Callithrix jacchus: one gene and its partner. The protein of the gene in region 2 purifies or fractionates together with the protein of the main gene of each other region. This does not show direct contact. Links are inferred from orthologs where the notes say so. Each region holds a gene or a part of one and is shown on either strand. Other genes may lie near its edges.

Region 1 (4,092 bases), on a different chromosome or scaffold from region 2:
TAAGTATCTTGAAAATCCACCCATCCCTATTCCTAGTCCTATTCCCTTTTCCAGACTCCTTTCATTCTTCTGTGTACTCCACCTGCCTCATGAATTTAAGCCTCATCTATAAGCCCATGACTCCCCAGTCTGAATCTCCAGCCCAAACAACCCTGAACTCCAGGCTCAGACAACCCTGAACTCCAGGCTCAGACACAGCAACTATATCTTTTTTGTTTGTTTGTTTGAGACAGAGTCTCACTCTGTCGCCAGGATGGAGTGCAGTGATGCGATCTCGGCTCACTGCAACCTCCACCTCCTGGGTTCAGGCAATTCTCCTGCCTCAGCCTCCTGAGTAGCTGGGACTACAGGTGCATGCCACCATGCCCAGCTAATTTTTGTATTTTTAGTAGAAACGGGGTTTCACCATGTTGGCCAGGATGGTCTCAATCTCTTGACTTCATGATCCACGTACCTCAGCCTCCCAAAGTGCTGGGATTACAGGCGTGAGCCACCGCACCCGGCCAACCAACTATATCTTTGACATCTATTCTGGGACATATAATTGGCATCTCATAATTGATATGTCCAGAGCAAAGAGCCTGCTATTTCCTAACCCTGCTCCACCTTAGAAAGACTTCTCTATCTCAGCAACACAATTTTCCCACAAGCTAAAACCCTGGAATTCTCCCAGATTCTTCTCTCTTACCAAACAACCAATCTTCAGCAAACCCCATAGGCTCTACCCTGCAGGTCTTCAAATTACATCTAGAATCTGACCACTCCTCCCCTCCTCCGCTCTTCTCCGGGCTGAGCCACCATTTCACTTGGCTTACTCCAATAGCCTCCTACTGCCAGTCTCTGCTTCCACTCCTTCCCCTGACACTATATTGTCCACATAGCACCATGGAGAGCCTGCTGAAATCTACAACAGATTATGTCACTCCCCTGCACAAGGTCCCCTGTGGCTCCTCATGGCCTCTGAGGCGCTCCACCATCTGGCTCTGTGACTTCTCTAACATCATCCCTTACTTGTCTCTCCCTGGCTCCCTCCCTGCTAGTGACACTTAGTCTCCTTGCTGATCTAGGAATACTTGGTTCACACTCACCTCAGGGGCTTTGCACAAGCCTCTGACTAGAATGTTATCACCCCCAGGTATCTGTATGGCTGGATCCCTCGCCTCTTTGGGGACATTAATCAAATGTCACCTTTCTGGGGCTTTTCCTGATCACCAAAATCTCTGAAGGAAACCAGAAGATGAGGAATATTTGGGGGTGACACATTCTGGTCTCCTTTGGCTCCTTAAAAGATTTTGATGCACACTCACCCTGAGTACTTCCACGTTTGCCTCTATCACACATCTCATTCGATTTCTACTATTGGTTGGTTTGTATTCTCCACTACGTGGTAAGCCCAGCAAAAGCCACGTTGTACTATTCTGTGAATCACCCAGAACTCGTACATCGTTGAATATTTGCAGATGAGTGAAGTCCTCACCATTTCAAGTGCTCTTAGCTGTGACTGGTTTTCAGTGATACTAACCACTTGGGTGATTAATTTGTTAAAATATAATTATATTGAGGTAGAAACTAAAGTGAAGGGAATGTTTCTTGTTTCTGTGCTTTTGGAAACTCCCAAAAGTTTGGCACAATGGTATGACTAAGACAGGCAGGAATGGGCATCTGAAACTGACAGAGCTACATTACAACAGCCATGCTACCTGAGTGCACTCTGCTGTCAGAGAAATGGCCAAGATGTGCGACACTGGATGTTCCGGGTTACGGGATAGGCCACCCCTTGTCATCGGAGGAAGGGTGCCCCTCCCAGTCAGGCATGGTCACTTTATACTTCTGATTTCTCTTAGTTCTGCAGCTGCCTCAAAAGCAGTAGGCTTGCTTGTGTGTTCATGAAAACAATAAACTGGTTCCTTCAAAATGTGAAGAACTGAAAGTAAAAGGTTCTGTTTTCTTCCCTCCTGAGCAGTTTGGAAGTTTTCCATCCCAGATTTTTGCCTCGATCTGCAACAGCTCCCACGCCCGCGGGTCCCATCTCCCTGTCCCCACTCCCAACCCCAGCATCAAAGACTTTAAGCAGCCACAGTAGAATTGGGGTCTTAAAACCACACGAGTCAAGGTGACGCTAAAAGAGGAGAGCCCCGGTGGGATCTCCCTCCCACGAGGGTCGGTGGACCGGGCAGGGACAGCCAAGGGGTCACCAAGGGTAGCAGGTGGCGGCGCGGGAAGTGGTTTGATAGCCGCGAAGCCCCTCCCAGGGTTCCAGGAGCTGGGACTAGGGCGGCGGAAGTAAGCCTGGTGCGCGGCCGCAGCAGGTCCGAGGGCGGCAGCCCCCAATGGGGTGCAGGGGTTTCCGGGGAGGGAGGGGCCGGAGGGGATGAAGAGGGTTCGTCCACCCCGCCTCGGCCAGGCCCTACGCGGCGCGCGGGGAGGGAGAGGGCGGGCCTCGCGCGGGGCCCTCGGCAGTCGGGGCGCGAGAGGCCGGGTCGGCCTGGGCTCCGCTTACCTGTCCAGGGTCTCCACGCTGGGCTGCCGGGAACCAGCGGTGGCGCCCCCCGCGGCCCGAGGAGGCCTCCTACCGCCCGCCGGCCCGGGGTTGGGGCCCCCGCCGCCCTCGCAGCCCGCTGCTGCCACTGCCGCCGCCACTGCCGCGGCCGCCGCCGGCCTGTCCATGGCGCGCCGAGTCCCGCCGCCGTAGGGAAGCCGCCGTCGGGACAGGAGCGGCGTCCGGGAAGGTTCCGCCGCGCGCCTCCTGCCGCCCGCTCTACCGCCCGCCCGCTTCAGGCGGCCGCCGCCATTAGCTGTCACCTGGCGGCCCCGCGTTACCCACAAGGCCCCGCGCGCGGGGGTCGGGGGCGGGAGCGGGAGCGGGGGCGGGGAGGGCGACGCTGGGGGCCAGCGCCGGGAACCCCCACCTGGGCACTCGCCCGCGTAGCCTGGGGATGGGGGGCTAGGACCTCTTGCTCTGGCGACCTGGGCGCGTTCCGAGCCACTGGGGTTCAGAATCCCCAAACGGATTATGCATAGCGTGCTTCGCTCTGTAGTTAAACCCGGTTGACGGCAGAGACGTGGGGTGTAATAAGAAGTTTGGAGACATTCAAGGTTTAAAAATTATTTCCCCCCTCAGTTGTCCTTCCCAGAAAAGGTATAGGACAGCTCAGGCTCCCTCTTGAAGCACGAGCAATTCCGGGCATTTTAGCAATTCCTCCCCACCCCATTCTTCCCTCCACTCTCCCCTTCCACACCCCCCTACAAACCCACCTCCTTGCCATCTGTAGAGCAACCAAGTGTTCTGATGCCGCCCTCGGAACTTCCGCCCATGGTTTATGTTAAGAGTAACATTTAACTACTGTTGATTAAAAATCACTGCTATGAAAACCAAGCCAATTATCTTGCTGAGGCATTTAGGACATTTACTTTCTGGGCTAGATTTATTTTCTTGCTCATTTTGTTTGGGTGCGAATCATCCTCTCTCACGTCACTCCTGATTAAGCTGGGAGTGGATGTGTGGCTCATGATTAAGCCCCTTTGCCTGTGATTGCTCTGGGTGTAGACGGGAGTCCTGTGACCCAGACCTGGCAAAGGAGCTATAAAGGGAACAATTCGCCCCCTCTTAAAAGGCAGACCTGCAGACAGAGAGTTCCTCATGCCCATCCCAAACTCATCTTGCCCTACCAGCTTAATGACGTCAAACTTAACTTTGAGGATATGATGGCCGAAGCCCCTACAGCCATCTTATACCCAAGAGGAGGTGAGCCTGGGGTAAGACGATAACAAGGTGTAGAGGGCTGGGAAGAAGGAAATGAAGATCCCCAGACAATAATAACTCCCATCTTACACTGGAGAATCATCTTCTGCAGGCTGCTGGCTTTCAATTATTAAATAAAATGGTTAACCCACTGTTACAGACTGAATGTTTTCATCCCCCTGAAGTCCATATGTTGAAGCCCTAACTCCCTATGTGATGGTATTTGGAGATGGTATTGAGAGACAATCAGGTCATGAGGGCCAAGCTCTAGTCTGACGGAACTGGTGCTTTATAGGAGGGGTCACCTGTGATCTCATGCACTGACATGCACACACTTAGGAAAGGCCATC
Region 2 (3,500 bases):
GTTCTTGGTTCTTCTTTAAGGTCCACGGTTACCCTTTCCCACAGCTGCTGCCACTTCTCAGGGACTTGATTTAATTTGTGTTCCAGTTTTTCAATTTCCTGCCAAGAAATTAAAAGTTTTTTGATAGATCAGTATCTCATGGAAATCAGGATGTGCCCCAAAGCCACACTGCTTCTGTACTAGGCCCAGATGAGCAGCATGGTCAGAGGGCAGTTGAGGAAAGTGGTGGACCTGGGCCTCAGAGGTCTCCCAGCCAGGAATAGTGGTGACAGCTCTAGCTGGTATGCCACACTGTGGCAAAGATAGTTTATTAGGACCTACAACTAGGCCTTTTGGTACAGGATAGCTTACATACTAGGATGTGAAATATATATCTCAGACATCTGCACTGTTGGGCAGCCCATGGGAAATCTGATAGCCAAAGCAAGAGGTCAAGCACTGGGCCTGTGGCCCAGCCCTAAAAGCTGAGGTAGATGAGAAGTCTGTCCTTGACAGGAGGAACCCCTCAACTCTGATGATTCAAACCAGATGTGGAAAGAATGAACCAAGAAATGCCCAAGGAAACAGATATCCCTTCTGACAGGGATGCTGGAGATCAGAGCAGCTGCCTCTGTGACAGTATGACACTGAAGTATACTCTTCCTGGTCAGGAAACCAGAGGGGAAAGACTCTTCAGGAACTGTCTGGCCCCTATCAAGGCTCAAAGCTACTCCTCAGGCTGGCTACTGCCAAGATGGGTTTGTTCTGGAACACTCCTTGCAGAAGATGGTTGGTAGCACTCCCATCAGGCCACTGAAACTACCCACACTTTTGACTAGAGGAAGTAAAGCACCCACAAAAGCCACAGCCAAGGCCTGACTAAGGCTCTTCGGGCAACTAAAACAGCTGGGAAGCTGCCGGAAAGAGTAAATTGCTCCATTTGCTTGATTGCTTCCTTGTAATGCTGGAAAATCACTTTTATTGAGACTCTTTTCCAGTAGTGAAGCCTGGTCCCCCACAATGACGGGGAGCAAATCTGTTTTCTTCATACCGGGAGGGTGCTACCATAACCTTAGCCCAAAGTAAGGAAAGCCATGTTCTGAAGTTTATAAACCATTCTTAGCTTAGCCTGGTTTCTTTGGCCTTATGCCTCTGGTGCCCATGGTGCCCCTAGGTGTGTATCTACAGTTGACTTACACTGAAAAGGCTGGTGAAAGCATCGGGCTGAGTACAGCTCACATTATCGTAGCATGGCCACACTGTTCTCCTCTGGCTCCGGGGCCCAGCTTCTCCAGCCAGGTCAGTGTCTTCGGAGGGGAAGTGCTTGGGGGTTAGCATCATCCAGTCATAGGAAGGGCCTGTGGACAGGGTCTCTTCTATGTAGTAATCCCACTTCTTAAGGCTGGAGACATTTACACTGGGCTTCAGGGCCTGTTAAAGAAAACAGAAATACAGTTTCATCTTGAACCCAAAGCTCACTGTCAGGCGAGCCCCTAACATCTGTAGAGTCCAGGGGAGGAAGAGTGTGAATGGAGGTTCAAATCCATATGTCTAACTATTTAAAAGTCATACATCAAAATAAATTATTAAAACAATTTTCAATCCATTAGGAAATATAACTTCCTAATGACCCAGAAGGTCAAGTTCAATAGAGGATTCTTGGATTCCTTAGAACTTTATATTAGCAAGTGGTGGCACTAGGTTAGCTGGCCCCAGGTCCCAGTCCTTGGCCTAACTCTTCTTCTCCCACCCGTAACTTATATTCTAAGAGTCTTACATGAATGTTTATGTATACCCCAGCCCATAAAGTCAAACTCTGTCCACTATCAAACCTGCCACTTTTTACCATTCTTTGGGCCTTGAGGTCCATGCACTGACTTAGTAGACCGACTTGGAGAAGTAGTCTGGTGGGCAGCCTGAATTTGGGCAAAAATTCTGAAGTACCCAGAACATGGTTTAGATGAAAGAGGGGCATCTAGGCATGTACCATTGGTTTCTTGTACTCCTCACTTCATGAGGATGCAGCTAGAAGAAGGCCAGACTAGGGTTCTATGATTGGGGCCTGGGAGAGGGGACTCTCTTGGCCCTAAGTAATGGTGGAACTGCTTATCGGACCAGTCTGTTCCATTCCGGAGCATGTGTTATGTAGATGTGCATGGTGGGGAGATATGTTATCCTTCTTGGGCTCGGCTCCAAACATTTCTGCTTCCTACAGGGGTCCTTCCACGGCGGCTTTGGTACTGATGGACTTAAACAAACTTTTTCTAAGGTATTTTAAGGTTTTTCAGCTTAGAACACCTGTTGATATTTCAAATTTTGTTAGTTCCTTTTTTTTTTTTTTTTTTTTTTTGAGGTGGAGTTTTCACTCTTGTCGCCCAGGCTGGAGTGCAATGGCATGATACTGGCTTACTGCAACCTCCACCTCCTGGGTTCAAGCAATTCTCTGACCTCAGCCTCCCTAGTAGCTGGGATTACAAGCATTTGCCACCACACCCAACTAATTTTTATATTTTTAGTAGAGACAGGGTTTCACCACATTAGCCAGGCTAATCTTGAGCTCCTGACCTTGTGATCTACCTGCCTCAGCCTCCCAAAGTGCTGGGATTACAGGTGTGAGTCACCACGCTCAGCCAAATTTTGTTAGTTCTTTCTTCCTGGGGAAAGTTGCCTTGCTTTGATTCTCTAGAAGTTTTCCCTTCTAGGTTTTGGGGGCCAGTTCCTCATTTTTGTGGCATTATCACAACCCAAACGTATAGTGTCTCAAACTTTGAAATAGCTTTTTCAAAGGTATTAAACAGCTTATATATACTAAGCTAAGAAAGGTATTAAACAGCTTATATATACTAAGCTAAGAAAAACTCAACACAAAATTTCAGAAAATGAAACATAAATGATTTCTTACTCTACCTCTATTTCCAGTGGTGAATATAAATAATTAAAGAAAATGGGACTCCTCTTGTGCATCCTGTCAATGCACTCCCAAATACAGATTCCTTTTTTGGCATGCTTTTCTCCTTTATCATCAAATAAAGTTCCTGTAAATTAAAAAAAATCCAACAAAACAAAATTAAATAAATTAACACTTTGCCTAAACAAGTATGATGCATGTAGCAGATAAAAAATTGGAAATTGTTTTCATGGCTCTAAAAATAGCAACATTTGTGTGAAAACCTTAGAAAATAACTGCAAAGCTAAAGACGTAATGAATTTCATAGCTATATAGGGAAACAAATCCAGATGGAGGAAGCATCTGATAAAGTTTGCCTCAGCAGCGAGCAGTCCATCATGACTCTTCCAACCCTCATCCTGCATCTCTATCTAGATTCAAAGGAGTCCATGCAGGAGGCATTCTACAGCTGTCAAGAGAAAATGGAAGGACTTCAGAGTTGATTTGATGAAACTCAGTAAAAAACATAATTTTATGTTTCTGTTTTAAGTTGTTGGCCATTTATCAGGAAGCCATTTAGAGTGTTCTCTTGTTTAGCAGTTTATATATACCACAGATCATGGTCACTGACACT

What was found.
Region 1: the proteins of SBF2 (region 2) and MTMR1 purify together in Homo sapiens (affinity purification with mass spectrometry; 3 studies listed by BioGRID and IntAct, with this or other methods). This does not show direct contact. The link is inferred for Callithrix jacchus from reciprocal best matches to the Homo sapiens genes SBF2 and MTMR1.

The regions. Positions count from the first base shown.
Region 1 is NC_133524.1:147,043,119-147,047,210, reverse strand, and holds the start of MTMR1 (phosphatidylinositol-3-phosphate phosphatase MTMR1), read right to left. Parts: upstream 2,801-4,092; 5' UTR 2,668-2,800; coding exon 2,501-2,667; intron 1-2,500. UniProt on the Homo sapiens protein: Lipid phosphatase that specifically dephosphorylates the D-3 position of phosphatidylinositol 3-phosphate, generating phosphatidylinositol. Could also dephosphorylate phosphatidylinositol 3,5-bisphosphate to produce phosphatidylinositol 5-phosphate.
Region 2 is NC_133511.1:75,669,918-75,673,417, forward strand, and holds part of SBF2 (myotubularin-related protein 13), read right to left. Parts: intron 3,015-3,500; coding exon 2,887-3,014; intron 1,411-2,886; coding exon 1,177-1,410; intron 99-1,176; coding exon 1-98. UniProt on the Homo sapiens protein: Guanine nucleotide exchange factor (GEF) which activates RAB21 and possibly RAB28. Promotes the exchange of GDP to GTP, converting inactive GDP-bound Rab proteins into their active GTP-bound form.